Linked DNA regions of Oryzias latipes. The protein of the gene in region 7 interacts with the protein of the main gene of each other region in a pairwise test. Links are inferred from orthologs where the notes say so. Each region holds a gene or a part of one and is shown on either strand. Other genes may lie near its edges.

The links.
Region 1: the proteins of sgta (region 7) and syt4 interact in binary tests that used the Homo sapiens proteins (3 or more experiments, as listed by UniProt). The two-hybrid records come from large-scale screens. The link is inferred for Oryzias latipes from reciprocal best matches to the Homo sapiens genes SGTA and SYT4.
Region 2: the proteins of sgta (region 7) and ptn interact in a two-hybrid assay, tested with the Homo sapiens proteins (2 studies listed by BioGRID and IntAct). The link is inferred for Oryzias latipes from reciprocal best matches to the Homo sapiens genes SGTA and PTN.
Region 3: the proteins of sgta (region 7) and HRAS-like suppressor 3 interact in binary tests that used the Homo sapiens proteins (3 or more experiments, as listed by UniProt). The two-hybrid records come from large-scale screens. The link is inferred for Oryzias latipes from reciprocal best matches to the Homo sapiens genes SGTA and PLAAT4.
Region 4: the proteins of sgta (region 7) and pre-B-cell leukemia transcription factor-interacting protein 1 interact in binary tests that used the Homo sapiens proteins (3 or more experiments, as listed by UniProt). The two-hybrid records come from large-scale screens. The link is inferred for Oryzias latipes from reciprocal best matches to the Homo sapiens genes SGTA and PBXIP1.
Region 5: the proteins of sgta (region 7) and tmem174 interact in binary tests that used the Homo sapiens proteins (3 or more experiments, as listed by UniProt). The two-hybrid records come from large-scale screens. The link is inferred for Oryzias latipes from reciprocal best matches to the Homo sapiens genes SGTA and TMEM174.
Region 6: the proteins of sgta (region 7) and nme3 interact in binary tests that used the Homo sapiens proteins (3 or more experiments, as listed by UniProt). The two-hybrid records come from large-scale screens. The link is inferred for Oryzias latipes from reciprocal best matches to the Homo sapiens genes SGTA and NME3.

The regions. Positions count from the first base shown.
Region 1 is NC_019876.2:7,931,035-7,935,559, forward strand, and holds the start of syt4 (synaptotagmin-4), read right to left. Parts: upstream 2,927-4,525; 5' UTR 2,692-2,926; coding exon 2,658-2,691; intron 2,195-2,657; exon of another isoform or gene 1,122-2,194; intron 1,102-1,121; coding exon 485-1,101; intron 393-484; coding exon 69-392; intron 1-68. UniProt on the Homo sapiens protein: Synaptotagmin family member which does not bind Ca(2+). Involved in neuronal dense core vesicles (DCVs) mobility through its interaction with KIF1A.
Region 2 is NC_019881.2:18,741,406-18,745,188, forward strand, and holds part of ptn (pleiotrophin), read right to left. Parts: intron 3,455-3,783; coding exon 3,281-3,454; intron 1-3,280.
Region 3 is NC_019868.2:12,341,751-12,346,194, forward strand, and holds the start of HRAS-like suppressor 3, read right to left. Parts: upstream 2,954-4,444; 5' UTR 2,840-2,953; intron 2,666-2,839; exon of another isoform or gene 2,493-2,665; intron 2,415-2,492; exon of another isoform or gene 2,396-2,414; intron 2,315-2,395; 5' UTR 2,250-2,314; intron 2,172-2,249; 5' UTR 2,139-2,171; coding exon 2,124-2,138; intron 1,548-2,123; coding exon 1,439-1,547; intron 1,274-1,438; coding exon 1,005-1,273; intron 1-1,004. UniProt on the Homo sapiens protein: Exhibits both phospholipase A1/2 and acyltransferase activities. Shows phospholipase A1 (PLA1) and A2 (PLA2), catalyzing the calcium-independent release of fatty acids from the sn-1 or sn-2 position of glycerophospholipids.
Region 4 is NC_019869.2:888,234-892,016, forward strand, and holds part of pre-B-cell leukemia transcription factor-interacting protein 1, read right to left. Parts: intron 2,280-3,783; exon of another isoform or gene 1,416-2,279; intron 1,296-1,415; exon of another isoform or gene 956-1,295; coding exon 868-955; intron 789-867; coding exon 721-788; intron 276-720; coding exon 1-275. UniProt on the Homo sapiens protein: Regulator of pre-B-cell leukemia transcription factors (BPXs) function. Inhibits the binding of PBX1-HOX complex to DNA and blocks the transcriptional activity of E2A-PBX1.
Region 5 is NC_019870.2:5,378,575-5,382,944, reverse strand, and holds the start of tmem174 (transmembrane protein 174), read right to left. Parts: upstream 2,873-4,370; 5' UTR 2,581-2,872; coding exon 2,003-2,580; intron 1-2,002. UniProt on the Homo sapiens protein: Regulator of plasma phosphate homeostasis. Decreases serum inorganic phosphate (Pi) uptake by regulating the sodium-phosphate cotransporter SLC34A1 trafficking by PTH and FGF23 in the kidney.
Region 6 is NC_019866.2:14,622,082-14,626,358, forward strand, and holds the start of nme3 (nucleoside diphosphate kinase 3), read right to left. Parts: upstream 2,841-4,277; 5' UTR 2,781-2,840; coding exon of another isoform or gene 2,735-2,780; intron 2,383-2,734; 5' UTR 2,343-2,382; coding exon 2,261-2,342; intron 2,103-2,260; coding exon 1,972-2,102; intron 1,052-1,971; coding exon 950-1,051; intron 743-949; coding exon 630-742; intron 373-629; coding exon 258-372; 3' UTR 1-257. Other genes in the region: mrps34 (28S ribosomal protein S34, mitochondrial), read right to left, coding at 4,024-4,277. UniProt on the Homo sapiens protein: Catalyzes the phosphorylation of ribonucleosides and deoxyribonucleoside diphosphates, other than ATP, into the corresponding triphosphates with ATP as the major phosphate donor.
Region 7 is NC_019862.2:5,200,670-5,204,752, reverse strand, and holds the start of sgta (small glutamine-rich tetratricopeptide repeat-containing protein alpha), read right to left. Parts: upstream 2,801-4,083; 5' UTR 2,671-2,800; intron 2,430-2,670; exon of another isoform or gene 2,407-2,429; intron 508-2,406; 5' UTR 460-507; coding exon 360-459; intron 1-359. UniProt on the Homo sapiens protein: Co-chaperone that binds misfolded and hydrophobic patches-containing client proteins in the cytosol. Mediates their targeting to the endoplasmic reticulum but also regulates their sorting to the proteasome when targeting fails.

The DNA.
Region 1 (4,525 bases), on a different chromosome or scaffold from region 7:
AGAAACTGTGAAGATAAATTGTCTTACGGAAAACCAAAAGTGGCTGAAACATTTGTGTGAGATCGTACCTTGATGTTCCTCTTGATAATCTCTCGGCTCATTAGCACGCGTCCCTCTGACAAGTCGATCCCAGACAAAGGAACGAGGGTCTCTCCGATGACTTCGTCACGGGAGAAGCGGTCAAAGCTCAGCACCATGAAGTGAAGGGACAATTCCGTCACTCGGGACAAAGAGATCCCGTAGAAACTGAAGGTTTCGTCGAAAGAGGGGTCAAGGGTCTTTCGAAGGACTCTGGTTTTCACTCGGTGCTTTTTTTCTGGGAGCAGAGTTAGCTTGATATAGGGGTCAGAGGTGAGGGACTGTTCATCCGTTGGAGATAGACCATTGGCCTCCTGTATAAGAAAGTAGCATAAACCACCAGAGATTAAATAGAATGCATACAAGCTAAAACAATTATACCAAAGGTTTAGACCCTTTACATTACCTTGATGTGAACAATGAATGCCTTCTTTTCTTGTTGGTATTCAAGGGAAAAGTGGAGAGTACCCAGGCCATTCTCCTTCTCCTCCACATGAGCTCTCTCCACACCTGGAGTTGGTGCCTGGCTGGAGAGGTTGCTGAATGGTGAAGGGAGGTCATGGCGGTCCATCGCACCAGGTTGGGTAAACCCTGCGTGTGGAGAGGGCAGCTCCAGATCTGGAGAGCACCTCACCTTCTGATGGTGGTGGTGAAAAGGTTTGGTGGTAAAATTGCCATTGAGATCCCGCTTCTCAAGGTCCAAATGCAGAGCCGGCCTGGAACCGTTTGGGCTTGTTGCAAGTTTACTGGTGCTTGATGGACTCATTGGCGTGGTGTGGCAGTTTCCGTTGACATCTGTTTTACCGGCGTCATTGACTGTTGTGGTGGCAGCTGCGGCAAACTTCTTCTTGCCACTCAGGCTTTCCGGGTAGATGTCTACCCCTTTGAGCATGTGCACAAACTTGTATGGGGGCGTCTTTTGGGATTTGGTGTTTTTGCGCTGGCAGCAGATCCAAGTGAAGGCTGACACAGTGAAGACGAGGCCAAAAACACTCACTACGGCAACGCCCACCGGTACTGCCACTGTGGAGGGGAGCAGACAAGGACAAGGACAGCAGTTTGTTAGAAAAAGTAGATAACTCTTGACAATCGTTGTGGCATGTAGGCATCTGTTTACACCCGTCAACTGAAACATTTCCTTCTGCACTTGTACTGAAGCAACTTCATCCATTTTGTATCTGAGGCTGACGCAAGCTGCAGCCTTGAGTCAGAAGGAGTAAAACACAATGCGATCTGTTCAGCCCAATTACCGGATTCATTTCCAAACAGGAAACAGCTGGTATTAGTAAAGAGCTGTTGGGAAAACCGCATAAAGCCATAAGCAGCCAATTTATCAAGGATTTTACAGGTATGATAATGTAGACAGTTACCACTTGATTTAGTAGTCTAAATACCTGAATACCATCTAATCATGAAAAGAATATGATATTTTGTTGAGGAGATGTAGATTTTTGGGCGTTAATTGTGGAAAATTTCCATAATGACATTATGAGATTAACTGTCTACTATTAAACGTATTGTGGTATGCTTATAGAAACATTATATGAACACTGTTGAATGCCTTTTTTTTTCTTTCATCGTGCTGAACTTTGACTCAACAACAATCCTGCTGCCAGATCTAATGGGTTTCAATTAAGAGAGGAAACAGACCATCAAGAGGACCGATCAGCCACGTCTACAAACCCATCAAAATGTCAAAAAGCAGTGGCAGTGAGCGATCACTCATGTCGTTCACGTGATCAAAGCTAATGTGTTATTTTTCCCATTCAACTCACACAATCTGTGACGTCCATGTCAACACTAAGGCTATATACTGTGCCATTTTCTAATGTACCATTGAAGATGTCATTTGCATGTTATGCCTCAGTTTTCCCTTTAAATGCAGCGATAATCTTTTTTTATTGCTTCTCATTATTATGTAAGAGGGCGATGTGAGGAATGTTGAACTCCTATCACTTTTAAATCACAGCACTTCTACATAATGTTTTCCTCCTTTCTGCTTATATATATTTCATGCTGGTGCCCTGGGTGGAATGGTGTTCAAGGCTGGAACGACAGATGGCTGACGCTACGGGGGGGCTGTGAAGGAACTGCTAAAGAGTGAGGACATGAAACGGTGGGTATTTCCAGGCTTTTTTTTTAATTATATTGATGCCTGTCTGCTTTTGTTGAACCCAGAAGACAATTATAACTCCACTTTGTCAACTATTGATGTTCTATGCAATGTAGCCCAACCTCCACCCAACGGATTAGTGTCCTGCTGATTAATTGACACCTCTAAGATCATTGCAAACTGGAGATAGCAGGAGGTTTTGACTAGAGTAAGGGAAATCAAACACTTTTAACTGAAAATATTGTGCATAATTGACTGTGAATGAACAAATGAAATAAAAACTTAAATGCAAAACCTCTTAATTTGGTGAATTAAAAAAAAACTCTTTCCAACAACACATTTCTAGCATCTCTGAGTAATGAGGAACCCAACACCAGCCTACTCATCCATCCACACCAGGTGGTGTCCCTTCGCATTAAATCACATCATGCAAAGGATGAAGCGTGAGTGTGTTGGATGGACTCACCGGGCTCAGCTCCGCTCTCCATCATTGGAGCCATTATCGCTGTCCAAGGTCCTGAAAGGGTCTACAATGAGCTCTCCTCTTCAGCTGAATCTCCAGCTGTTTCTTTCTTAAAGGGTGTTGAATATTACAGCAGAATATTTTTTCTTAAATAAAAATTTAATAACAAGAAAATTAAAGCCTTGTGATATCCAAAGAGAAGGAAGCTGTGTTCCCACTCTGCTGCTGTTACTCAGTGATGAGTGTCTCAGAGGCGGCAACACCCCTATCCTCTCTTTCTCTCCCTCTCCAGCTTTTTTGTCCGCTTGTTTTTGCAGTCTCTCTCCCATCCACCCTTCTGTCCCCTCCCCCTCCTCGATCCCCTCCTGACAAACGCTGAGCTCATCAGCGCTGACGCAGCGGTGACGAAGGCTGGCTGAGAAGCCCTGGTGAAGCAGCACAACAGACCTGCCAATTTCACTGATTGACGGTCAGGGAATGAACATATTTGTTTTCTGTCTATGTTAATGTGAGCACTTATCTGTTAGAGATTATACGTACAGATTGCTTGAAAAAACTGTATTTTATTAAACATCCAACCTATTTAGATCCCTTAACCCATTTAGCCCCAGAAGGTGTTTCTGTGGGTTAAATATGTTAACCAGAAAGATTCTTAGGCAATGCTCTCATTAACATTTTTAATTTTGACCCTATGAAGACCATCCAATTCCAACCTAATACTGCAACAAAGAAGAAGCTGGAAGAAAGACCACATTTAACATTTATGAAACACTGACCTCTGGTGTCTGAGTAAAATTGTACAGGGAAATAGTCTAAAAAGTATTTAGAAAGTTTAAAAAATAAAACACTAAAAAACTAAAACACTAAAAACTTAAATCGTTTTTTTTTATTATTAAGTTAATAATAGATAATATATTACAAAAGCCACATGCATATACTTCTGACTGTGGTGATAAATAAAAACGACTTATAATACATACCCTTTCCAAAATAGTTGGATGTAATGGAAAAGTGTTCTCTTTTCCACTATTCCATTGAAAGAAATAAACTTTCATAGAATATAGACTCAGGTCAAAATATTTAATTGATTTGAAGTATTTATTCATTTAAATTACTGTTCGTGAAACCCACAAAAACAGAATTTCAAAATATGAGAAAACTTTGGAGATATTTGCCCAAATTTTGCAGGGCATGAATGTTTTAAACTGAGTTTCAAAAGAAAAAAAGGAATCATGTTAATGTAATTAACGTGATTTTTTTTTTCTTTCTAACTAAGGTATATATTTGTATAAACACCTTTTTTAAATTAGGCTAAACTTTATTTATTATTACATTGATTTTATTTGTTGTGTTTTTTGTTGGACGCCCAGGAAAAATGGGGTTCTGTGAGGAGATGGATCAACTGATGTACATGTGATGTTAATAAACGCACATTTAGTCTCTCTGTGATTTATGTGAAATCCATTATTGTTTTTTTTTTTTTTTTCACTTGTCCTGTCTGACAGCTGGGCAAACAAATGATAGCTGGAGACCCGCCCCCACGCTCCAGGCAGCCCCCTGCCCCCAGGCCACGGTTAGTCCAGGAGAGAGCAAGGCAGAGACCCCCCCCAGGAGGAGGACGCCCAAGAGGAAGGAGGGTCCCCAAGGGCTGTTTTAATATGGCCTGACCAGGCTCACCAGCAGTTGGAAAATATGAAAAAGGCCCGCGCCCCAGGAGCCAGGACCAGAACCCACACCACAGGGACACGGACACCCACAGGCTCAGATGTGATGTGATCCCTGGCTCTTGGTCTTGCCAGAGAACTCAGGGATCCCTCCCCCTGCGTGGAGAGAGGGCTGCCGGGCCCAGGAAGCCAGCACCCAAGGGACAC
Region 2 (3,783 bases), on a different chromosome or scaffold from region 7:
TTTTGGCCGTTAGCAAACAGCTTTGTGGTGCATCACCGCCACCACTCAGTCTGGAGTGTAGATCAAGCCATGGACACACCAAGCATGTGACAAGAATGCGCCAAACGTGCTTATGTGTACATGCATTTAACCCATGGTGTTCACACTTGACTGTCTCTACCTGATACCAGCGCATGTACACAAGTTAGAAGAGGTGTGGTGCGAAATGTTTACGAAATGCAAATCCTGCGAATCTGGCACCAGGCTTTTTCTTTTTTCTTTTACAGTTCTATTCCAACATTTGACTCACTTACTGTCATAATATTCCAACCTGGCACAAACCGCGATTATTCATTTCTCCTCCATGTTTAATTTTCAAACGGTTGGCCTTTCCGTGCCATCTACACATAACTACCAAATTCGAGTTCGACCTGGTTTACCTTTCAAAATGCGTTGAATATTACTTTGCCTTTGAATAAGCCTTTTAATTTTGCTTTATTTAGTCTCACATTCACATTCATTCATTTCCTGCAAGTCCTTCATGAGCTGGTATCTATAAAAATGTCACAGCCACTCCTAAACTGTGTATAATGTATAAAGTTGGATTGTACCATTTGGTTGTCCGTTTTAGTTTCTTAGTTCTTGTCATGTTCTGTTTTCAGGTTATGCCTGTCAGTCACACCAGATGTAGATTGCCAATCGTCTACAGCTGTCTTGATTTGTGGTAATGATCCTCCGTGTGTTTAAGTATCTGTTTTTTCAGATTTTCCTTTTCGGGTCATATGCTTTTCCTGTTTTTTCTTGTTCCCTGAAGTCCTGTTTTGTCATGTTCAAGTTAATTATGAAAATTTGTTGAGGAAATGGGATAAGAGTCATAAAGGCAAGAGTGGAGGGTATTGTCAAGACTTCAATTTGGTCACACTCAGTTGAGTTACAATCTTTTTAATATTGGAAAACAAATTGGTGCAAAATTTGATTTTTGCACTTATGAGAGAACAAAATCTCAGCAAGCTGCTCAACGATCTGAACAAGGAAGGGAGAAAAGATGGCATGAACAAAAAGAAAACCAAAATCATGTGCAATGAAATAGCAAGGAAGAGGAGAAGGAAAGGAATAATTGCAGATGGAGAACAACTGGAGGAGGTGGATGAGTGTAAGTATTTGGGAAGACTGCTAACACCAGGAAATGAGATGGCGAAAGAAATAGACGAGAGAGTAACAACCGCTTGGAAGAGATTCGGACGGTACAGTACGTTTCTGAGAGATCAAAAAATGCCCATGTGTCTCAAGAGGAAGATCATGAACAATGTCATACTGACATCAATGACATATGGAGCTGATACATGGTCACTTACCAACTGCCAAAGAGAGAAACTGGCAATCACCCATAGGAGCATGGAACGATCAATGCTGGGTGTTACGAGGAGAGATAAGGTCAGGAACGAAGACTTAAGATCAAGGACAGGGGTGAAGGATGTCATCGAGAAAGTGATTGAAGCCAAAGGCAAGTGGGCAGGACATGTAGCCCGAATGAAGAACCACGAATGGGCTAAGAAAACAACAGAATGGACTCCGTGGGACAGGAAGAGAGGAAGGGGAAGACCAAAGAAAAGATGGAGAGATGACATCGAGCAGATGGCAGGCAGCACGTGGACCCAGAGTGCCCAAAACCGTGATGAGTGGAGTAAGATGTGGAGGCCTTCCGCCAGCAGTGGCGTGACAGGCTGATGATGATGATGATGATTATGATGATGATGATGATGATGATGATGAGAGAACAAAACATTATTTAAAGACAGGAAGACCTCTCATCATAGATAAATACTTAAGAAACAACTTTTGTTGTTTACTATTATTTCTGCTATGCTTAAAGAAGCTTATATTGATGATTTCTTAATATTTGTCATTAACGACATCAGTATAAACTCGTATATTGTAGTGGAAAAAGAAGCACTCAACATGCAAAGCTTTAAGCTACACAACAAAGGACTAACAACCTTTTCAGGGTTCAGCAACCATGTGACCCTGAACAGAATTAAGATGGTAATTAAGACTGCATGTATGAAATTTATGAAAAGTTAACTGAAAAAATGAATTATTTATTGAATTCCAGACTGAATTTTACTTGTTTTTTTTTGTTTTTGTTTCATTTACTGTGCATTCATTGTTTCGTGGCGGATATGAATCACTTTCTAACCAAAGTTGCAGAGCTAGTATCATCTGTTTTTATTTACATCCGTCTAATGTGCTCGCTTTTATCATTTGGCAAAGCTGCACTGGAAATCTTTTGTTGTTTTGGAGGAACATATGGTCCTAGAGAAGACACCTGCAGCAGTTGCCGCAACAAAGACTGCTTTGAGTGTTTCAGGAAAGTGTAAATACGCCCGTCTGTTTGTGGAAACATTTTACCGTGATGAAAGTCTTCCAGTGGAGGAAGCAGTTTGCAAACACTCGCAGGTGTGGGATTGAAATTGCTCCACATTCCAACATTGTTGCCGCTGTTGTAATTTCCCCAGATAGTGGAGATGTTCCTCTGTCTGGATCTTTTAAACACAAGAAGGGCTCATTCGTCTCCTTTTTTTGTTTTTATCTCCGTGACCCCTCCACACTCCAAAGTCTAAAAGCATTTCACTTGTTGCTTCAATTTCAGAACTTTTGGTACAAGAATGGTGCAAAAATGTGTTTAGTTAGCAGATGCATTACCTCCTCAAAGAGATCATTTATGGCAGTTTTATTGCAAGCAGGAGGCTCCTGCTTAACAAGCTGTGATGTAGGAACAAAAGCCTGTCATTGCGGGAACTTGCACATACAGTATGTGAGTTTGACATATTGCAGCCCAAAAAGCTAAAGAAATCGTGTTGAACGTGTATAGGGTTTATAATTTAGCCGTTAATTTCCTGTATGGTAAGAAATGTACTAAAAAACATAGACTATCAAAAAAAAGATGCATATTTGGTGCTCTCGAGGTGAAAATTGTTTCACTGACGATGCAGGAGGGGGATTTCTGTGTTTTCCATCACAATGTATCATATTCTCTGCAGATATTTTCTTTGTACCTCTTACTAGTCTGCTAATGTATTCCCGTTGTAAAATTGGTGCCATTGTTTCCGCAGATGGCATTCAACAATAGGTCATGAGGAGGTGTGACGAGATAACTGGTGCATATAAGCACGAGGACTCTTTGGAACCGAGACTTTTTGGAAAATAGCTGATTAAAATACTTTTGAAAGGTTAGCATTTTTAGATTTTTCTTATGTGGTTCTTGTTGGCACACAAAGGTCAGTGTGGTGGCCTTTCTCACCCCCGAACTTTTTCTTCCAGTTGCACGGGATCTTGCAGCGTTGGGTCTTGATGGTCTGCTTGCAGTCGGTGCCGGTACGCGTTCCCTCTCTAGTGCCAAGTCCACAGTCACCCTCATTGGCCACGCAAACGCTCCACTGCCAGTCCCCACATTCTGACTTGCGCTCCTTCTTTCCTAAAAGGTCAACAATGACAGTTAAAGAATAGCACCAGATGTCGTCACCAGACAACATGGTAAGAGTCATTTTTGTGTTTCCACTTCACAGTTTACGATAGCCTTTTTGTTGTTGCAGTCAAAAGGTATTTTTAGGTGTATTTAACCCTTTTTGTCTAATTTGATAATCCATTTTCCATTTAAACAGGTTGTTAGATGTCCTTCAAATATTGATTTGATAGTTAATAGAAGTAAAAGCTTGGTCTCAAATGCCTTTGCGGTAGAGCAAAATAATGTTAAACATTTTACCCTACTGGCATGTAAGTGACCGGTTGAAGCAAACACATAAA
Region 3 (4,444 bases), on a different chromosome or scaffold from region 7:
TATGCTCTCTTTGAATGAATTTGTTCCAGTTTAAAAAGAAGTTTTCCTCAGAATTGCACAGTAATGGACTTTACACTAAACTTTTAAACGCAATTTGTGTCTGATGCAAGTTTTTGTTTAACCCCTTTTTGGTTACGGATGCAAAAATGCATCAAACCACTTTGGCTCAAAAACTACTTTAATTTAGCTTGCACTTCAACAAAAATGGCTTTTCTACCTTCTCTGAAAGCCCAAAGCGCTTTACAGTCCCAAACCCATTCAAACACATTTACACGCTGGTGGCAGCTCTGCTGCCAATCACTGGTGCCAACCTTCCACCAGAGGCAAGGTGGGGTTCAGTGTCTTTCCCAAGGAAACATTGACACATGAGCGGTCAAGGTGGGAATCAAACCTGCAATTTATGATCAGAGGTCGACCGCCCTGCCGCTGCACCACGGCGTAAAGTGAATTTTTTTAATAGCTGGAAATTGCCACAAGAACATTTCAAAAATCAACATTCATCTTCTGCCGTTTTATCCCTTTCTGGGTCACGGGGCTGCTGGAGCCTATCCCGGCCACTTGTGGGCGAAGGCAGGGGACACCCTGGACAGTTCGCCAGTCTGTCGCAGGGTAGAATGTCCTCAATCACACACCCATTCACACCTATGTACAATTTAGAGTTTCCAATTAACCTATGAAGGATATTTTTGGACGGTGGGAGGAAGCCGGAGACCCCAGAGAAAATCCACACAGAACATGTAAACGCCACACAGAAAGGCCCCCCATTGATGTTCTGTTTCAGGTCCCCCCAGCCAGGGCTTGAACCGGGGGCCTTCTTGCTGTGAGGCAGGAGCGCTAACCACTGCGCCACCGTGCAGCCATTGGCGTTGGTTACAAACAACAAAAAACAAAACAAAAAACACAATTTTCATTGAAGTGGGTCTTTAAACTCACCACTCTTTCTCTATCGCTAATGGTTTTAAAAAAGAGGTTTGTATTAGAAAAGTTCGAGTGTTTCCACCAACCTGTCGGGACTCAGCTTTTCCGTAGCGCAGCTCATTGACGAAATGCTCACAGTTCCCCGTGAAGACACAGTATGGTCGCTCCTGGCCCACCAGCAAGCAGGCATCTGCCACAATAACTGGAGCCGGCCGGGGCTCGTACTCTTCATCCAGACTGTTGCTGATCTTCCACTGATCTGTTCCCACAACCTCCCAGAGCTCCTCTTTCTTCACCATAGCCTTCTCCGTTAGGACAGACATGATGCTGTTGGAACGAGCACCTGGAGTCTCAACTAATACACAATCACAAAAGAAGAAGAAAAATGCTATTCTCTCATAGCCTTTCATGCACAACTTGATATTCAAAACTATTTAAATTCAGTTTGTTTCATCGAACACTCTTTGTTCCAGATTGATATTTGGGACATAAGCTCCGTGAATCCTGTTTGGACACTCACAGGGCGGCGCCATGTGAACAACGAAGCCATCGCCAACGTACACAGCCCAGTGTTGATAAGAGCCACGGTCGATCTCAATCAAGTCTCCCGGCTCGGGTTTCACATCGTACTGGGATTAAGAGCAGGACAGAAAAATGTGTTTCATAATGACAACATAACACTTTCAACACTCTGAAAAACTTTCACCCGATTCAACTCCCTGGCAGTCTGTGAGAACTTATTTCCTCACTGTATGCTTACAATTTGAGTGTTTTAATGATGCTTTGTACGAGTTAAATTTATGCTTTAATTTTGTAAAAAGGTTCACGACAAGTTTGATTAAATGTAGAACTGAAAAAACTGCAACAAACTTCCTCTAAAACAGCAAAACACAGACCCTCCTGACAGCTTGTTATTTTCCGTAGAGAGAAAGAAAAAGGCCTAAAATGTAAATTCTAATTTGGTTTCCTTGGATTATTATTTTTTTAAATTAGATGATTACACAGCCTATTTAGACTTTACAAATGGGAATCTTTACTTCATAGAATTATGCATTTCCTCTTTAATTACTGTCTTTATATGAGGAAAAATTAAAACAAATAACTTTTTTAAGGAAAATCATAAAATCAATGTATTGAATTAAAAATACAGTTTCAAACCAGGCAAACAATTTCTCTGAAGAAGAAAGTAGAATCAACTTGCTTACCAGTGTTGGAGCCATGGCCCACTCTGATGTTTGGACTGGTTTCCTGTTCTGATCAAAGAATCACGAAACATTGTTTTTAAGCACATCTTTGCCATTTTCTTTCATTTATTTGATGCTGTCGTTTACCTTTTTAGCCTTTGAAAGCGTTTCAATCAAGCACTGTTATGCAGCCGAGGAAAAGCTGAAAATTTCTAAGAAAAACAAACAAACAGGAAACGCATATATTTTTCATATATTCGGGGGGTATAACTTCATTGGAACAGCCACATCACCAATGACGACGCGGAGGAACTAGCTAGCAGGCTGTGATGCTCTGTGTCGACAGACTCGACGCCGTTTCACAAAATGCTTTGAGGCTCAGAAATTCACCCTCTTTCCCAGCTTCCGAGGCTCTGCAGCGGTCCTTACCCGAAAATCACCGTCCAGAAGACCTTTCTTTAGTTTAGAAGAGCCGCCGCTCCCGACTGACATGGAGAGCAAAGCTCAGCTGTGAGCGATCAGCTGATTGCAACAACAACAACCACCACGGTCTGTACCAAGTCCGCACGGGGACGGAACGGATCAAATACTTTACGGTTAAAGCGACCGAAATGGGTCAGTCCACAAGTGCATTTTATTTATGGATTATAAAAAGATGGAACAGTCTACTTTAATGAAAATAAATACATTAGAATGCCAAAAGTCCAGTAATAACACTTGATACTTAGCTGGCTTACCTATTTATAGCAAAAATGGAAATCGAAAGTCAGACTCCTCTAATACCGCGGTCAAGTGAGCCGACATCTGTGGAAGTGCGGTCACGCCAGCATGCGCGTTTACATCATAGTTTACGGTACACACGTCCAGCGAGCTGGAAAGACGGCATAAAGCGCTGATATCACCCATGTCACAGTAACCATTTATAGAAATGACATGTACTGTACTCTGAAATTAATGCATGCCCTGTATCGTTATTCAATGTACAAATGCATTCATTTGGATTGCATGTCTGTTCATTCCATAATAAACTACCAGAAATAATGTGTTATGTCTTAAATATAATCAATCAGACAGATTCTAAAAGTGAGATTCAACACTGACAAGAGTGTTTTGTGGGTGGTTGAGCATGACATGGAATGGAATCAAACAGAAATGAAGAAACTCCAAGTAAAATCACATCTGGTCCTGTCAACTCTTTCTAAAGTTGCTTCAATTGAGGTGACGCAAAATTTTCATTGTATTATTGTTGATAATGACGTTCACTAACATGACAGCAAGGCTGATGAAAAATGACTGGAGAATATTAGAGATATTGACATTGTAGTCTAATTCATCCTCCCTCATACATAGTCATAGTATAACATTTGAACCATCCAAAATACCACTTTATCAAAAGGTGACGCAAAACTTTCACTGGATTATGGTTGTTAATGATGTTCTTGATCATCACAGCAGGTTTGAAGAAAAATGACTGCAAAAACATACTCTAACCGTGTATTTACCTTATATTGAGGTTTATAAACATGTTATACTCCGACTGTGAATGAGGAGACCAGAATTGGTCTATAATGTCAATATCTGTATTTTTCTACAGTCATTCCTCTTCAACATTGCTGTGATGATCATGAACAACATTACTAACATTAATCAAGTGAAAGTTTTGCGTCACCTTTTGATAAATGTGCATTTTGAATAGGTAATCCGTAATAATTTAACTAAAGGCAGGCCGCTTATAGGTGTACTATAATGTCAATATCTGCAATTTTCTTCAGTCAAATTTCTTCAAACTTGCTAAGATGATCGCGAACATCAGTACTAACCATAATCCAGTGAAAATTTTGCATCACCTTTTGATAAAGGAGTATTTTGGATGGTTCAAATGTTTTACTTTAACCACAAAGGCTGGATGCTTAGGAGAACTATAACTTTAATTTCTCTAATATTCTCCAGTCATTTTTCTTCAAACTTGCTGGGATGATCATGAACATCATTATTAACCATAATCCAGTGAAAGTTTTGTGTCACCTTTTGATAAAGGAGTATTTTGGATGGTTCAAATGTTATACTATGACTATGAGGGAGGATGAATTACAGTATAATGTCAATATCTCTAATATTCTCAGTCATTTTTCTTCAAACATGCTGTGATGTTAGTGAACATTATTACCAACAATAATCCAGTGAAAGTTTAGCGTCACCTTAAATGAAGCAACTTTAGAAAGAGTTGACAGGACCAGATGGGATTTTACTTGGAGTTTCTTCATGTCTGTTTGATTCCATTCCATGTCATGCTCAACCACCCACAAAACACTCTTGTCAGTATTAAATCTCACTTTTAGAAT
Region 4 (3,783 bases), on a different chromosome or scaffold from region 7:
GGCGGAGCCAAGGACAGCAGCTCAGTTTCCACTGAGGAAACTTCAACCTCTGGAACATCGAGGGGAGCGCTCAAATCAATGTTGGTGACAAAAGACACGCCCCCCAGGTGCTCGTTGTCACTGGGGGAGGTGGTTACGATGTCGTGAATGACCGGAGGCTGACTCTCCAAGTCCAGGTCGGGGGGGTCAAGGGGGGTGCTAGGGCGAGGGCTCATGCGGGCGGGACTAGACGGGATGGGACCCTCGCTGGACTCGGGGGAGGTCTCTTGACACACCTGGTGACGGCAGACAGATTACCTGAGTTAATGTACCGGAGTTACTGATTCAGGTGAAGTTCAGGTGTTTTGACTCCGCCCACTCTGAGTGAACAGCCTTTTCTTCCTCGTCTGCTGACAAACAATTCTGGATTCTTTGGAGAAAACAACCCTGAATTGTTAAAATACATTTTATGATGATGTGTTTGCAGAACTGGGTTCCACTTAGAGCTTTTCCTATCCGTCATGTCTAGTCTATCGTGTGATTGGCTGAACATTTGAAGTGGGTGTGGCTAACGTCTTTCCCTCAGCAGCTCAGAAAGCGTCCGGGCCGTAGACGTTCCTCTGGAGTTCCGTCTGTCCTTGAACGCTACAGGAATGAATGTCCCGGTTGGGGATGAGAGATCTCTGTTCTTGTTCTCACAGCCCTGCAGGGCCAGAGCAGACGTCTGACCGAACCACCTACCTGATGGCCTTCTTCAGAAAGCACCGTTTCCACGGCGATGTCAGCCGGCTTGAACTCAGCCGCCGCTCCTACAGGAAGATGGGGGATCAGAGTGGGATCTGGACGGTCAGTGCGGGCTCCACAATCAGCCTGTGTGTGGATAAATACCTGCTACTTCCTCAGAGAGACTGGGGGCGTCGCCCAGGCTCTCCGTGCCGTCGTCCACGGGCCCCACACTCTCAATGGCGGCGGCCTCCTGCGTAAAGACATCAACAGACGGTTTGGAAACGGCGATACAAGCAGACACGGATGTACAAAAGTCCCAACTGCTTTGGTTTGATCCTTTTCAGTTCATCTCAAAACTCCACATTTAATAGAAAAAGTTTCCTAAAGGCAATATTGTATTTTCCGCTTTTATTTTGAAAAACCAACTTTTTACCTTCAGGTTTTTATTGTGTTTCGTGTTTTGATTCACTTATGCTTTATGTGATGCTTTTCATGTTTTTTTACGATGGGGACGCCGCCATCTCTGAACCGGATGTAACCAGTGATTGGTCCAAGTCGACGTTTCTATGGCAACCACTCTTTCCAATCAGGTCAGTTTATAATTTGAACAGCAGAAAAATGATCATGAAACAAAAATTAGGATTATCAAGAAAAAAAAGTCTCAGATCCAGAATGGTTCTTCTGACTGACAGCGGTTTATTTCTCTATAGACGTCTGTGGCATTTTGGCTTCTTGGAGCCACTTCCTGTTTGGAACGCCAAGAGGGAGGAGTCTCTCAGTCCAGTTCTCATTTACAGTCAATAGCAGTGATGACGTTCTCCCATTTCCTTCATTCTACGTTGATCCTGGTTTGACCCTGTAACTTTGGCGAAAACTACCACCAGTACACGCGTGTGGAAGCTACATCTACATGTGACAGCAGACACGCCGTTTGGAAAAGAAAGCAGTAGGGTTAACCCTAACACTGACCCTTAAAGGACACATCTATCCACTTCAAAAAACCAAAAGTGTGTTAGGAAACAAACGGAAGACAGTCGTCCAGGAAGTTAAAACTGGTCTGCCAGCAATCCAGAGCAGCGCCGCACAGCAGAGACGTGACCTCAGAAGGCGACGGCGGCGGGAATGACATCCGGAATCAAAGAGGAATGCAGGGAATTGGACAGCCGTGGTCCTTCTGGCGTGCCAAACGTGCACAGTGTGACGTGACACGTTAGCAGACACACCTCTGAGGTTTTTCACAATAAGATGTTTGGTGTCAGAATGACCCGTTGTGATTTTGAGATTCCATCGGCTTCCCTTGTCCTACGGGTCAAAACAGAACCACTCCACCACAGCCCCCAAAATGAAGCAACTTCATTGAATTTTAAAATGTAAAATCTATTGTTGAAACAACATGTTACTTTTTTTTATCATATTTTCTGTTACTCAACACAAAATCCCTTTTAAGCTTATTTCTGATTTAATTAAACTGAAAACTGGAAAAAAAAGTTCTCAATCTGGAATTTCCTTCCGTTTTCATATTCTTCATGAAGTGAATTATAAAAACCCTTTAATCATCCCGCAAAACAACAAAATGCTGCTTAGACTCTGTGTGTTTGTTTGTGTGAGTGTGTGTATCTGGATTAGAGTGTGTGTGTGTTTGTGTGGCCTTTTAACTCATTTCTTGTGTTCAAATGTTTTTCTAGTTCATGGGTCATAATGACCCAAAGGATGATTTCTGTAGCCTCGTGGCGTTTCGTCTCCATGGAAACATGAACTCTTTTTATGTTTTCTTTAGGAAAAGTCGTAAAATGTTTATTTTTCTAATTGTCCCTCAATCATCCTGACAGTAATTAACAGTCCAGAGAATTATATAGGACTTTATTTTAAATAGGGTTTCATTTTATAATCACAGACTCAAGGATATAAAATAATCTGTGACATAAAATGAAGGTTGAAGTTTTTCAGTGTGTAAATTCACAGGTTTGGGTTTACATGCAGCGATGGTTCAAATCGTGTTTTAAGAGCATTTTTAAAGGTCTTTCAAGGTTTTTATTTTTTGTTTTTTTGTTGAAAGGTCTTTCAAAATGCTTCTTCTAAAGCAGTGTTTTTCAACCTTTTTTCAGCCACGGCACACTTTAACCTTGACAAAAATCCCGCGGCACACCAGCATCCAAAAAAATAGATAAATAAAAAATAAAGAAAAGGCTCAGTCTTTATTGATCTACCGCCGCTCTGCAATCTCACATGCATTTTTGTGATAATTGTTGCAGAAAACGCTGGAAGCTGCAGCTGTTTTTTCTAAAAGATGTATTAAAAATTCAGTCAAAAGATTCAAAAACTGTTTGATGTGTGTTCGTTGTTTTAAGACGTTGAGAGGAGAGACTCATTGTGCGCTAAGACAGTCACTTTACTGCATCATGGGAGATGTAGTACCCGTAATCCGCCGACCGCAGAAAGACCAGCGTCTTTGAGCTTCATGGTTTTGTTCACTTGTTCAAGTCTGATACCAGATTCTGTGGAAAGCTACACCGCTAAAGACGAGCTTTAGCTGGTATTTTTGTTAGAACAGAGAGACTTTTTTGCGCTAAATCGAAACAAGGAAGTGAATACTCAAACCACTTCTGATTGGTCAGACTGATGACATGTGATTAAGCCTTCAAGAATGATTGGTGGAGACAGTTAAAGGGGCGGGACTTTTCCTTACACAGTTATAGCTGCAGCTAAATCGCGGTATCCCGTTATTCTTATCAAAATGTCTTTAATAGAATCATATAAACACAAAGAAAAAATAATTTTATGATATTTCATATTCTTAACTTCTCAGTGTTTTATCAGGACCTGTTTGGATGAACAAAGAGCTGATTTCCTGGAGATGGTAATTGTTTTTAGATCAGTTAATGAGGGCAATTTCTCACGGCACACCTGACCATCTCCCACGGCACACTAGTGTGCCGCGGCACACTGGTTGAAAAACACTGTTCTAAAGTACTGCCATGGGATTCGCGGCAAGATGGCGATGGGAGCAAACGTCCGGTAAGCGTTCTGCGCAACATAACCTTGAAAATGTTACTTTAGGACGGAATAGTTACAAAACCG
Region 5 (4,370 bases), on a different chromosome or scaffold from region 7:
AGCCTTGGTGGTATAGATTCACCAAGGTTCTGGAAACATTCCTCAGAGAGTTTGGTACACATTGACATGACAGCATCACGCAGTTGCTGCAGATTTGCCGGCTGCACATCCGTGATGTCAATCTGCCATTCCACCACACCCCAAAGGTGATCTATTGGGTTGAGATCTGGTGACTGTAGAGGCCATTTGAGTCCAGTGAACTCATTGTCAAATTCATGAAACCAGTCTCAGATTCCAGCTTTATGACATGGATCCTCATTCTGCTGGAAGTAGCCGTCAGAAGATGGTACTATGTGGTCACAAAAGGATGGACATGGTCAGCAACGATACTCATGTAAGTTGTGGCGCTGTAACCATGCTCAATTGGTACTAAGGGGCACAAAGTGTGCCAAGAAAACATCCCCCCACATTTATACCCCCACCATAAACCTGAAGCGTTGATACAAGGCAGGATAGATCTATTCCTTCCATGTTGTTCTGACCCTACCATCTGAATGTTGCAGCAGAAATGAAGACCCATCAGACCCAACAACGTTTTTCCCATCTTCTATTGTCCAGTATTGGTGATCCTGTGTGAATTGTAGCCTTCGTTTCCTGCTCTTAGCTAACAGGAGTGGCACCCAGTGTTTTCTTCTGCTCTTGTAGCCAATCTGCCTCGCGGTTGGACATGTGCACTTCTGCAGACCTCCGTTGTAACCAGTGGTTCTTTGAGTTCCTGTTGCCTTTCTATCAGCTGGAACCAGTCTGGATTTTCTTCTCTGACCTCTGACATCAACGCGGCATTTCGGCCCACAGAACTGCCACACACTGGATTTTTTTTCTCTTTTTCTGACCATTCTCTGTAAACCTTATGGTTGTGGGTAAAAATCTCAGTAGACCAACAACAAGCATGCCATGTTCAAAGTCACTTCAATCACCTTTTCTTCACATTATGATGCTCAGTTTGAACTGCAGCAAATCATCTTGACCATGTCTATATGCCGAAATGCATTGAGTTGCTGCTATGTGATTGGCTGGTTAGAAATTTGTTTTAACAGTTGGACAGGTGTGCCTAACAAAGTGGCAGGTGAGTGTATAGGGCTGCTGTTCTTCATGTAATTAGGATTGGTCAAATTCAATATTTCAGGTGAAAATCTTAACTGTAAATTAAGAAAATGAAATATTTTCCAGGTGACTTTAGAAAAAGGTCCTGCAAACTCGCTGTGATTGGATGAAACAAAGGCATCTTTGCAGTACTTGTTCCTTGCTTTAACTTCTGTACCTTTATTTTAAAACAAACATCAATCCTGGCTTGATAATTGACTGATTTCACTAACAGTTGCTGCAAAACTTTAAATTGCTTTGAATTTGTAACTTTAAAAAACTGGTCTGAAGTGCATCATGGACCAAAGTCCAGACAAGTCTAGATTTTTTATAGTTCAAATCCATTCAACTTCTGCTCATTTCCGTTTTCAGCAGATCTGGTTTTACAAAAGTGAGACAGAGATGGCAACTGGCATTTTATTTGGAAAATACGGGACTCTGAAAAGATGGCAGAAGAGGTAGAGTGAACTTAGACTTGTGTGTCATTTCTAATGGCAAACTGTGAACAGTGGATTGTCACAAGAACAGTGGTATGTGACTATTAAGTGTATATAAGAACTGGACAAAGGGATCCCTCCCCCCATGCGTTCCAAACTGGCAGTATCCACTGGCTCCAGGAAGCCAAAAATCCCACAATTATTCTTGATCTGCTGAAAAATCTTTTCAGCAAAGCTAAAATATGTTTAAAATTCAATCTATAAATACAAATAAATCCCATTACTCCAGTGAGGATAAAGCATAGGAAAGGCAGGTTTAAGGATCCGTGTTGTCCCTTTACTAGCAAAAGTAACTTATTTTCTAAATTAATCGACTAAGAAAACAGAAAAAAAACAGCAACTGCACCTCTGAGAAGCAATTATACATGCAGCAGCTGACCACATTTTTTTTTTGTTTGTTTTGTTTTTGGACGAGTTCTTACCGACTCCCTCTGTACCCCACTTCTGCGTCGCCTTCTGCGGTAAAAGCTGCGTTGTCCAAACAGTACACATCCTCATATGAAGGGAGGCTCGCATGGACGCCTCCCACAGAGCTACCAGGCTGCTCCTCATTCTCCTCAATGACTTCCTGGGTTAGGAAGTTGTACACTGGTGGAATACACACCATTGTTGCGGTGCCCTGCACCATAACCGGCTGATTGATGCCGTGGACCACAACGGTAGGTCTCCCTGACGGTGGTTCCCTTATAGGAACAACAAAGACCTCCTCCTCTTGCTCTTTGCAGTACCAACAGGAGATTAACCTAAATTTGCAAATGCTGGTGACCGTGAAGGTTCCTCCAACTGAAATCAGGATGGGACCCAGGAGTTGGGTCCACTGAAAGCTGGTGCTGGTTCGGAAGTGATGCCAACCTATCACAGTGAAGGTGACCCCCACCATGGACAGGAAGACTCCAGAAAACAGGAGCGCAGCTCCGGTTTTTTCCTGCTCCAGCCTGTCTGCCTGCCTCTGGGAAAGAGAAAGAACGCCGGTCTCCATCGCAGGTCTTTGTCCGGCCATGTTAGTTCATGAATAAATGCTCTGAGCAAAAACAACACTGAGTAACCTCAAGATTGTTACTGGACAAGTAAGGAAGTTACAAGTTAACACGTCAACCCTTTGAAAAACAGAATGGCCTTGGAATTCATTAACTTTATGGAAATAATAGGATTTTTGAAGATATATCTGATACATTTCTGCAGCACATATTAATCCCTTTACCTGACGTCAGACTGTGACATGTGCCAAATCCAAATGAAATCATACCTCTATGCCAGGGATGAGCAACCCCGGGCCTCGAGGGTCGCATTTCTGCATGATTTCCAACATACTCTGCTCTGGCATGTTCTAACTGGCTGGACACACCTGAACCAGGTAATCAGTCATGAGTAGGGCTTGAATATTTGGAAATCCTGCAGGTACACCAGGTACACTGGTTTGAGGAGATGCACCCAGCTGCAGACAAGATGGCGGTTGGAGCTCCACTCCATGCACCTAGTCACAATTACATGAGCTTATTGAGTTTTAATTTGCATCGCAGTTTGCTTTTCCAACGTCACCTAAAATAGAGAGCCAAAAAAATTTAAAATGAAAACAAGATAAAATAAAACGAAGCTCATCTTTTGTTTGGAGATCACCAACTTCTGTTTCCATCAAGGAGTGGAGCTCCAGCCGCCATCTTGTCTGCAGCTAGGTACTCTTGAGTTTAAGAAGATGTTTTAAAGCTAAAAATGATGCGAAGTCAGAGGTAGTTTTTAATGTCTTTGCTGAACTGACAGATAGGGGGACTCACAAAAAACATATACCATCACTTTGGCCCACTCAGTCACCCATTTTTGGTGTGTCACTGAGGTGGGTTGAGTAAACACAGGTCAATGTGGCTGCCCCATTTCAGGCTACATTTTTCCAGAATTCTGCGTGTGACATCGCAGATAATTATCTAGAGGATTTGTGTCTACGGGGGAAATTAACCTAAACTCAGAAAACACCAAACCAGGTATCTGACCTTTAAACCATTTTTATGGAAATATTCAGCAGTATAGTAAGACGTTTGGCAAAAATACAATAAATTCATTAAAAACAGGATTTAGATCTTCAAAGCTTTATTTTTCCATCGCTCCACTGCCACTGTCCCAACGTTACGATTAACGCATCCAAGAAGATCTTTAAGACTTCATCTTTTATGCAATCCACAAGCCAAACTTCTTGCATTTATACTTGAATGTATAATTAAAGCAATTTTTTATGAAATTTTTTTTGATTCATCCATCTTTTGTTACTCTTCAATTTTGTTCATTTACTATTTGTTTTATGCCTTTATCATTCAAGTTTTAGTTCTTACAACACAACAGTAGGCTTAGATCCATGCAGGCTTTTACTGTACATCTTAAAACAACATCCATGTTCCTCAGACTTTCACTGTGAATGCAAACATATTCTTCAAATCTGTGCATGAAAGCACATCCTCATTTCACTGCGCCAGTGGGAAGATGTGTAGAATCCTTAAAAGGTAGTGTTTAAAGCCACACATATTCTTCCAATTAGAAAACTCCAAATATTTATGAGAAGGACATTTCCTCTCCGAAAGAAGGAAAAGTTCTGCGTATGATTGCCTCCTGTTGACTTACTGCGAGGCAAATTGATCCCCAGGGCTTATGCTTCATTTCGCTTCAGCTCTGCAATCATCCTTCAAAAGTGCATCTGTCCGGCATCTTTACAGTAATTTGTCATTTGGCAACAAGTCAATATGTGAGGAGGGAGAGCTTTATCAGAAATTGATGGTCTTGTTTAAAAGGATTTGGAGTCTTCAT
Region 6 (4,277 bases), on a different chromosome or scaffold from region 7:
TATTCTAAAAACAAATTTGTTTAAAAAATTTTTTTAGCAAATGTAGTAATTTAAACTTAGAAAAGGCTAAATTTTTTTGATTGATTTTACTTTGAACCTAACTCTATTAAATAGTGTAGTGCAGAAAGGCAGAATTAGGCTTTCTACTACTGTTTAGCTACAAAAAGCACTAAAGTCAAATTTATCTGAGGTGTGATCACCACTTCAACGATATTGCTCTTATTTAAAGCCAGGGAATGGTTTCTACACAGCGTGTGTCAGTAGATCCACTGGCTGCTGCTGCTCTTCCAGCGGTGAAGTTCCTTCGGACCGAACCACAGAGAGATTTCCCTCTGTGCGCTCTCCACCGAGTCACTGCCGTGGATTACGTTCCTGTGACACAGACCCAGCAGAGACATTCAGGAGGTAAAACTTCACTTTGTCAAAAAAAAAAAAAGTAAAATAATGTAAACAACATTTCAAAACATTCATACAAAAAGGTGATATTGTCAAAATGGTTGCAATCATTTATATTTCTTTGGGGATAGTGCTATTTTAGTTGGAAAACAAGCCCATTTCTGGTCAAATTAACAAACAAGTGCCTTTCTTTTCTAAAGGTTTAATCCCAGATTGAGTGGAATAGCTCTTACTTGCCCACTTCCACACAGAAATCTCCTCGTATGGTTCCTGGCAGTGACTCAGCAGGGTTGGTCTCTCCCAACATCTTGCGTGCAGTCTTGACCACCTCCAAGCCCTGCCAGACCTAAACAAACACAGAAATGTACACGACTATATGATACTTTGGTTTTTAATACAGTGATTGCACGCTAAAATACTAATAAACATTCAAAACACACCATCAATTTTGACTGAAAAGAGTGTATTTGTGTTGCAGGAGGATTTTTTTCCTTATATATTACAGATGTCCTTTAGGATCATTTGGCTGTAAGTAACGGACTGGACATCTCACCATTGCAACAACTGGTCCTGAGCTCATGTAGCTTATTAGTCTGTTGTAGAAGGGCTTAGTCCTCAGATCCCAGTAGTGTTCCCTAAGAATGTCCTCTGATGCCTGAATGCAAACCATAATAACATCTGATTAGTTTATAAAATTATAGAGCGCTGGACATGACATTAAAAAACAATAATTCAATAATTTAAACAATTTTGTGTACACAATTTGGTATTTCGTGCATATAACTTTGTATTTTATGGGCTTAAATTAGTATTATGTGTGCACAAATTAGCATTTTGTGGACAGAAATTAGTAATTGTCTGCACAAATTAGCATTTTTTGGGTACAAATGAATCATTTTGGGGCAAAAATTAGAATTATTTGTGCTCAAATTAATCATTTGATGGCACATATTAGCATTTTGTGGATAGAAAATGGCCCTGCGACAGACTGCCGATCTGTCCAGGATGTCCCCTGCCTTCACCCAAAAGTGGTCGGGATAGGCTCCGGCAGCCCGTGACCCCGAAAGGGACAAAACGGATTAGAAAATAAATGAATGTATGAAAGAATAGAAAATAGTAATTGTTGGGCACAAATTAGCATTGTGTGCACATATTAGTATTTTGTGGGGATAAATTAAGATTTTGATGGTACAAATTAGCATTATGTGTACCCAAATAGCATGTTTAGGGCACACATTAATATTTTGTTAGCACAAATTAGCATTTTATGGAGACAAAGTAGTATATGGGGAGACAAATTAACATTATGTGTGCAAAAATTAACTTTATTGAGGGCTCAAATGAGCATTTTGTTGGCACAAATTAACATTTTTGTGTGTACAAATTAATACTTTAGTATACTTTCTACTCCTAATTTTGTGGCCATAAAAAATTTAACAGTGGCCACAAATTACTAAGAGGGAAAGTTGTTTTAAGATCATGATCAGGGCTCCATATCATATGACAGGTCTTTTACTTGGATTTAAAAAAAAAAGGTCATCGTCATCGTGTATCTGAATGTATCATCAGACTCACCCGCACAAGTTTGAGGCCCACCAGCTTAAATCCTTTCTTCTCAAAGCGACGCACGATCTCCCCCACCAGCTTCCGCTGCACGCCGTCCGGTTTCACGGCGATGAAGGTGCGCTCATTCACTCCGGTCCAACCTGGAACACAACTTTAAACTATCAGCAACTCAGATTAAGCCTCAGGTTGTAGACACGAAAGATAAGCACGGCAGCAAAAAAATAGATAAAAAGTGCTGGCGGCAGCCTTCGGATCTGGAAGCGGCTCTCTGTCTCTCTCTCTCTCTGGCGCGCCTCACCGAATTCATCGATCTTTGCGTGTTTCTGCGCCAACCTCTCCACCTCCTGCAGGTCGAGCTGTGACCTCTTTTTCGGCCTCATTGCGGTGCTCCACTTGCAGCAGCTTTTCCACACTACCAGGCTGCACACAATGGCAGCACGGTAATACACGAGCTAATAGGATAATGAATCAACTTTTGCAGGAGGAGGAGGAGGAGCGGGGGTTACTGTCACAGAAGCTAACCTGCACGCGCCAACTCTGTTACTGTTATGGAAAAAGTTAGTCGTTTTTAATAACAGTTCAAATTCAACACTCTTATTATTGTCATGTTTAGTATATAGAAGTCCCATAAACACCATTTTACAGATTTATCCGACTGCGTGGAGTTTGCCGAAGAGCCGTCTCCCAGCATCCTCTAAAAATAGACGTCATTCCATCCGTTTGACTCAAAGCGACTGAATGTGGACCACACGGAAAGTCAAATATTACCAACCTGACTGAAAAATGTAGGATATGATGGTCAGAAACAGGCAAATCATCGTCACTGGAAGACAGAGCACAACTTATCCGTCTGAATGAAAGCACGCAGGTGCGAGGAGGAACGTTGCTAAGTAACGGAGTAACGCCGCCAAGGTGAGAGCACGTGGCGCCGCAAAGATGTATGGAACCACAAATGTGCACAAAAAGAAGAGTCTGTAGTTAATTTATATAAGTTAATTACATTTTATCATATATATTTAGAATTTAAACATGTTTGATCACAGAAAATTCATTAATAACAAATATTAATGTATTATTAGAATAAGATAATTTATTTAAAATGATTCTTCAATAATGTTGTTTATATTAGATAGTAATAGGAAAAAAGGATCATGGTGCACAAAAGTTATGATAGAAAATGCCATGTTTGTTTTGACTTTCTTGCATTTTTAATTTAGGTAAATTTGCTGCTGCAGTAGGATCCCTTTTGTCAAAGGGTGTATTTTATTTTGAAGGGAAGTAAAATTATGGAAAATTACAATAATTTCATTATTGTAAATATTTAAAAGGTACACAATATAAGTAAGTATAGTGTTTAAGTGGCATAATGGTCACAAAAACAAAGTGTTTTTTTCTAAACAAAGATTGGTTAGTAGGAAACTGTAATATTAGAAATGACCAGAAGAGGGCACTAGTTGGTAGAACATGAAGGTAATGATGTGGGGAGAGCACAAAGAAGAGTTGATGATTCACTGGAATGTATGTTGAAGAGCAACTGAGGAATAAAACCAAACAGATTGAACCTACAGAGTGTCCCGAATTATATTTTATGTCTGTAAGATAAGTACAGACATGACAGAAACTGGACCAAATAGCTGTTTTACCATTAAAGAGTTGCAAACCATTGTTCTTTCAGGAAAAAGAAGACACATCACAACACATTACTTAATTAACACTCAAGCAAACATATCAAATTATTAAACCATCTACCTTTAATCTGAATATTAAGACGTTGTCTATTTTGGCAAGTTTTCTTTAAAAGCCCAAATACGGACTCACAACAACTTTGTTATTACGGTCCTTAAAATTTTTACTTTTATTTTTTTGTGTATCTTTCCATTTTTGTTTATAAAAGATACCTTATTACAAAACAATTTATTCCCATTTTTTTATTTAGCAAATCAGTCAAATTCAAACACACATACACTCACTATGGCATTACACTCTTGTCCAGGATGGAGCCTAATCTTAAAGCAGCTCAGAAAGAGTTGTGGCCCCCTGAGATTGAAACATCAGTAGCCTTTACACAGCTGTCCCCTCTTTGCTCCGCCTTTCTTTTTCCTGTCTGCGAAAATAGTCTTTGTTGAGCACCACGTCTCTCTGCAGAGGCAGTGCCGGCTCATCTAGGACTGTGCTGCCTCCTGTTTTACGATGGGCCAGCATCATGGCCCGGAGTAGAGGAGGGTAGGGGACGTGGCGCACAGGTGGTTCAGGGAGGGGCTCAAAGTCCTTAAACTGCTGCTCCATGTGTTTAGGAATCAGTCGCCAGTCATGGT
Region 7 (4,083 bases):
TTGATTTGAGTCGTCTTGTTTCATTGCATTTTATTTTGTCTTCTTCTGTTCCTAAAAACATCTCGTTTGGGTGAAACAGCCCCGTCAATAATCTGTTTCAATCTGTGCAGTTTATTTCTAAATAAAGTGATTTTTTAGTTTTGTTTTTCAGTGTTTGTGTGTTTTTTCACAATGAGACGGTCTAATGCTGGCTTCTCCTTTCTCATAAGATCGTCTGGTGTTTTAGGACAGTTACGGCACTGCGTCCCTTTGGACCCATCCAATGACGGCTCAGAGCTGCTCGCTCCGGTCCGTCACCATTCAAACTGCAGCGTAAAACCCTGAGATCCTGGCTGGTGTGGCAGAGCTGCAGGAATCACCTTCCAAACTCTCCTGAGCGTCCGAGGACAAACCGCCGGACTGCAGCTGATCGTGGAGGAACTGGATGATGGAGTAGGCGAGACGCTTGTTGTCTGTCATGGTGGTGGAGGCTCAGACGTCCCAGCGCTCGATGAGGGAGACGCACTCCTGCAACAGAGGAGATCAGCAACAGCCAGTCAGTCACCTGACACCACCCGCCTGATTTACTACACCTGTTGTGCCGAAAGACTTGGTTTCACGCATGAGAGATGTGACTTCTGCTGGGCAAACTTCCAGCTCAGAATATGCACTGATATCATTTTTTTAAAGAGGTGACAGAAAGTATGTTTGAGCTAAACTGGGCACAAATCCTCTCTTTTTGCTGACAGTTAGTTGACTGTAAAGGAAAACTGGACTGAGAGACCCCCTCCCCCCTGGCATCCCAAACAGGAAGTACCCACTGGTTCCAAAGAAGACTATTACAGAGAATTAAACAGCTGTTAGTCATTCTATTTGTCAGAATAACCATGTTCTTGATAATCCTACTTTTCCCCCCCATTACATTTTTTTCTGTAATGAAAGTTGAAACCAATCAGATGCTTCCGTAAAGGTATGTGGTCTCACGTCCAACGTTCAAAATGGGGGAGTAACGATTTATTTTAACAATGATTTGAATCATATCATGTATTTGTGGTTGATATTGGTTGATTTTGAACGATCTGATTCACTGATCTAAAATGGATTCAGAACATCTTTATCCAAACTTCCAGCAGTGAGACTCAGACAGAAATTCCTGCTACTGAACAGTGAAGTTTTCCAGATTCTTGGATTTCTTCAAGATCATTAAGTGTAAATGAAATCTGTGTCCAAACAAACCAGTAAACTAGAATGAATGTTAAATCCATTCACATTTGAGTTTCCTAAAGTTCAGCCCACTGTTGTTTTTCCACATCCAAATGATCCAAAGGGAACATTCTTAGAACATTCTAGAACACTGGATGGTCACATGACTTTATAAATTCAAAAGTTTTCACACATTGGACTGGAATGATGGACAGATCCGTTTTGGCTGACATCACATGTGTGTTGTCCACTGATGCCCTTGTTCATTTTCATTATACAGTCAAATAAACCTACCATGTCTCAATCTCAATGGCATTTTCCATTTTCAATTCGATTGATCTGATTTTGAAAGGATTTAATATTGGTTTAGGTCAGTTTGATTCGATTAACAGCTTGCCTCAGAAAGATCCACCTGGTTGAATCTTAGGAACATAAATCATTGATTAATTGTTACACCCCTAGTTTATAGTAATTAAAAATAAGCTGCGAAATTAACAAACTTGTCACACGTTGGAAATGTTATTTACTCTTTAAATATTAGGAAACTACAAATTACGTTTATATTCAAAATGTTCCTAGATTTGAAATAGTTTTTATTTTTAACACCTTGCTTAAGTAGAGCCAATCGTAAACTTCCAGCGTTCAGCTTTTTGGCTTTAAACCTTGTATTTCTTCAATTTAGCTTATTTTTTGTTAAGCACTTATTTACCCCCCCCCCCCCCCCCTGCAAAAAAGCAACAAAACCCCCAAAGCTTTTGTTGTTATTCAATAAAGTATCACTTTTCGATTGCTTGGTACGTTTAATAACTTTTGGGTCTTTACTGGAGCTAACTTACTTAGCATATTCTTTGGTTTAAACCAGCAGCTTTCGCCGTAATTTTCAGGTATTTACATTTATGTTTAACGTTTGGGGTTACAGACTGGACCGAGTATGGAATCATATGAAAACAAAACATTGCGGAGTCACACTCTGAATGTTAGCTTTCCTTTAGCCACAGCAGGAGAACATTCTAGCAGCTCAGTTCTGGTATCTTTTAACTCGGTTCTGATTTGTAAAGCAGTTCGGTGTTAATGGTCCAGACAGCCAACAGATTTACTCAGATCAATGAGTGAACCTTGTTTGTGTTCAAATAAGTTTGATGTAAACTCGATCGAGCTTTTATTTAGCTTGGCTAATTTTTAGCCTGCTAACACATCCGAGCTTTAGATCTAAACGGGCCGCACCGTTCTGACCGTAAACCAAAGCGATGAACCGCGTTAGTGTGACATGGTCCGGAATCAAAACCGGGTCTTCGTTTAGTATAGTTTGCTCTAGGAGCGGACCGGGGTTGCGCATGAAGTCACTGAAGCTTGGTGTCTGTGGCGTGACGTGTTCTCATCCTGAAGATCGCGGAGACAGAAGACTGACTTTAGGATCCCAGTTTATCCACAACTGCATGAATCCGCCCTGATGGTGAATCTGGGGTGAAAACACGAGGAAGCGCCTACCTGCTGTGTCTGGACTTCAGATGGAGATTATCCAGGTAAGAATCTAGATTGACCTAAGAGTTACTTCTTCTTCCTTCTTCTTCTTGAAGAGCTTTAGCCAGTAGGCAGGGGGACTTTCTGACGTCTAACTGCCACCTTCTGGATTGGAGTGTCAACAACAGCGACCATGCTAATAAGGCCCTATGAAAAAATACAGGACAAGTCCATCTTGAGAACCCGCAAACCCCACACAGAAAGGTCCAAGTTGGGAATCGAACCAGGGATGACTCACATTATACACTTATTTGTACAGTGGGGCGAAAAGTATTTAGTTACCTACCGATTGACCTCATTGACCTCCTGCCTAGGGTATCCTGATGCCACGTGTATTGATGGACACCCTTGTGCTCAAACATGGTGTTCGTAATGGACAAACTATGACGAGCACAGTAGTCCAACAACAAAACAACCCCTCTCGAACGACTGAATTTCAGAGCCCAGGGTATGTGTGGAGGTGAGCCCGACTATATCTAGCCGGTACCTCTCAACCTCTTGCACAAGCTGAGGCTCCTTCCATCCCAGAGAGGTGATGTTCCATGTCCCAAAAGCCAAGTTCCATGACCGGGGTTTGGGCCGCCGAGGCACCCGCCTTTGACTGCCACCCAAACCACATTGTGTTCCACGTGTGTTCTCCTACAGGTGGTGGGCCCATGGGAGGGTGGTCCCACGTCACTCCTTTGGGCAGGGCCCGACCGGAGCCTGTCTCCAGAGTGGGGCCCTGGTGACACCAATCCAAGCAACGTAACTGATTCCTTGTTTTTTCTTCTCAAAAGAGGATTCTAAACCGTTCTTTGTCTGACTCGTCACCCAGGACTTGTCTGCCAAGGGAGACCCTACCAGGGGCTTAAGCCCCTGGGAGCTTCGCTCCTGGGATCACTCGGGCTCTAACTGCCCCACCACGTTAAGGTGGCGGTTCACGGAGGAGAGTTGTTTTTGATTAATAAACATTAATATCTTCCTATCTGTGGCCCATAAGATTTTGAAGTAATAGGGCAAAAGTTTTTTCTTGTTTTTTACCCCAATTCTTTTTTAATACCCCGACCCCCCGTCCCCTTTTTTAAATTTTACTTTGAAAAAAAGTTAAAATACTTTAACATCAATACCCTCTTGTCAGGTGTGGGAACTGAAGCACTCAGGAAACCCACACAACCCATCAAAAATGAGACTGTAGCTGACTTTCACATTAGTGTGTTATCTCTCTTTTTTTGACCAGGTTTTGAAGTAAGAGGAAGTAAAATTAAAAGCACTTTGTTACGTTTTCTTTTAAAATTTTTAATGTATTATTTTTACTTTTGTCAAACAATAAAATAAAACACAATAATACAGCCTCTAACATTGTAAGTAAATCCCAAATGAAATATTGCTAAAAAATAG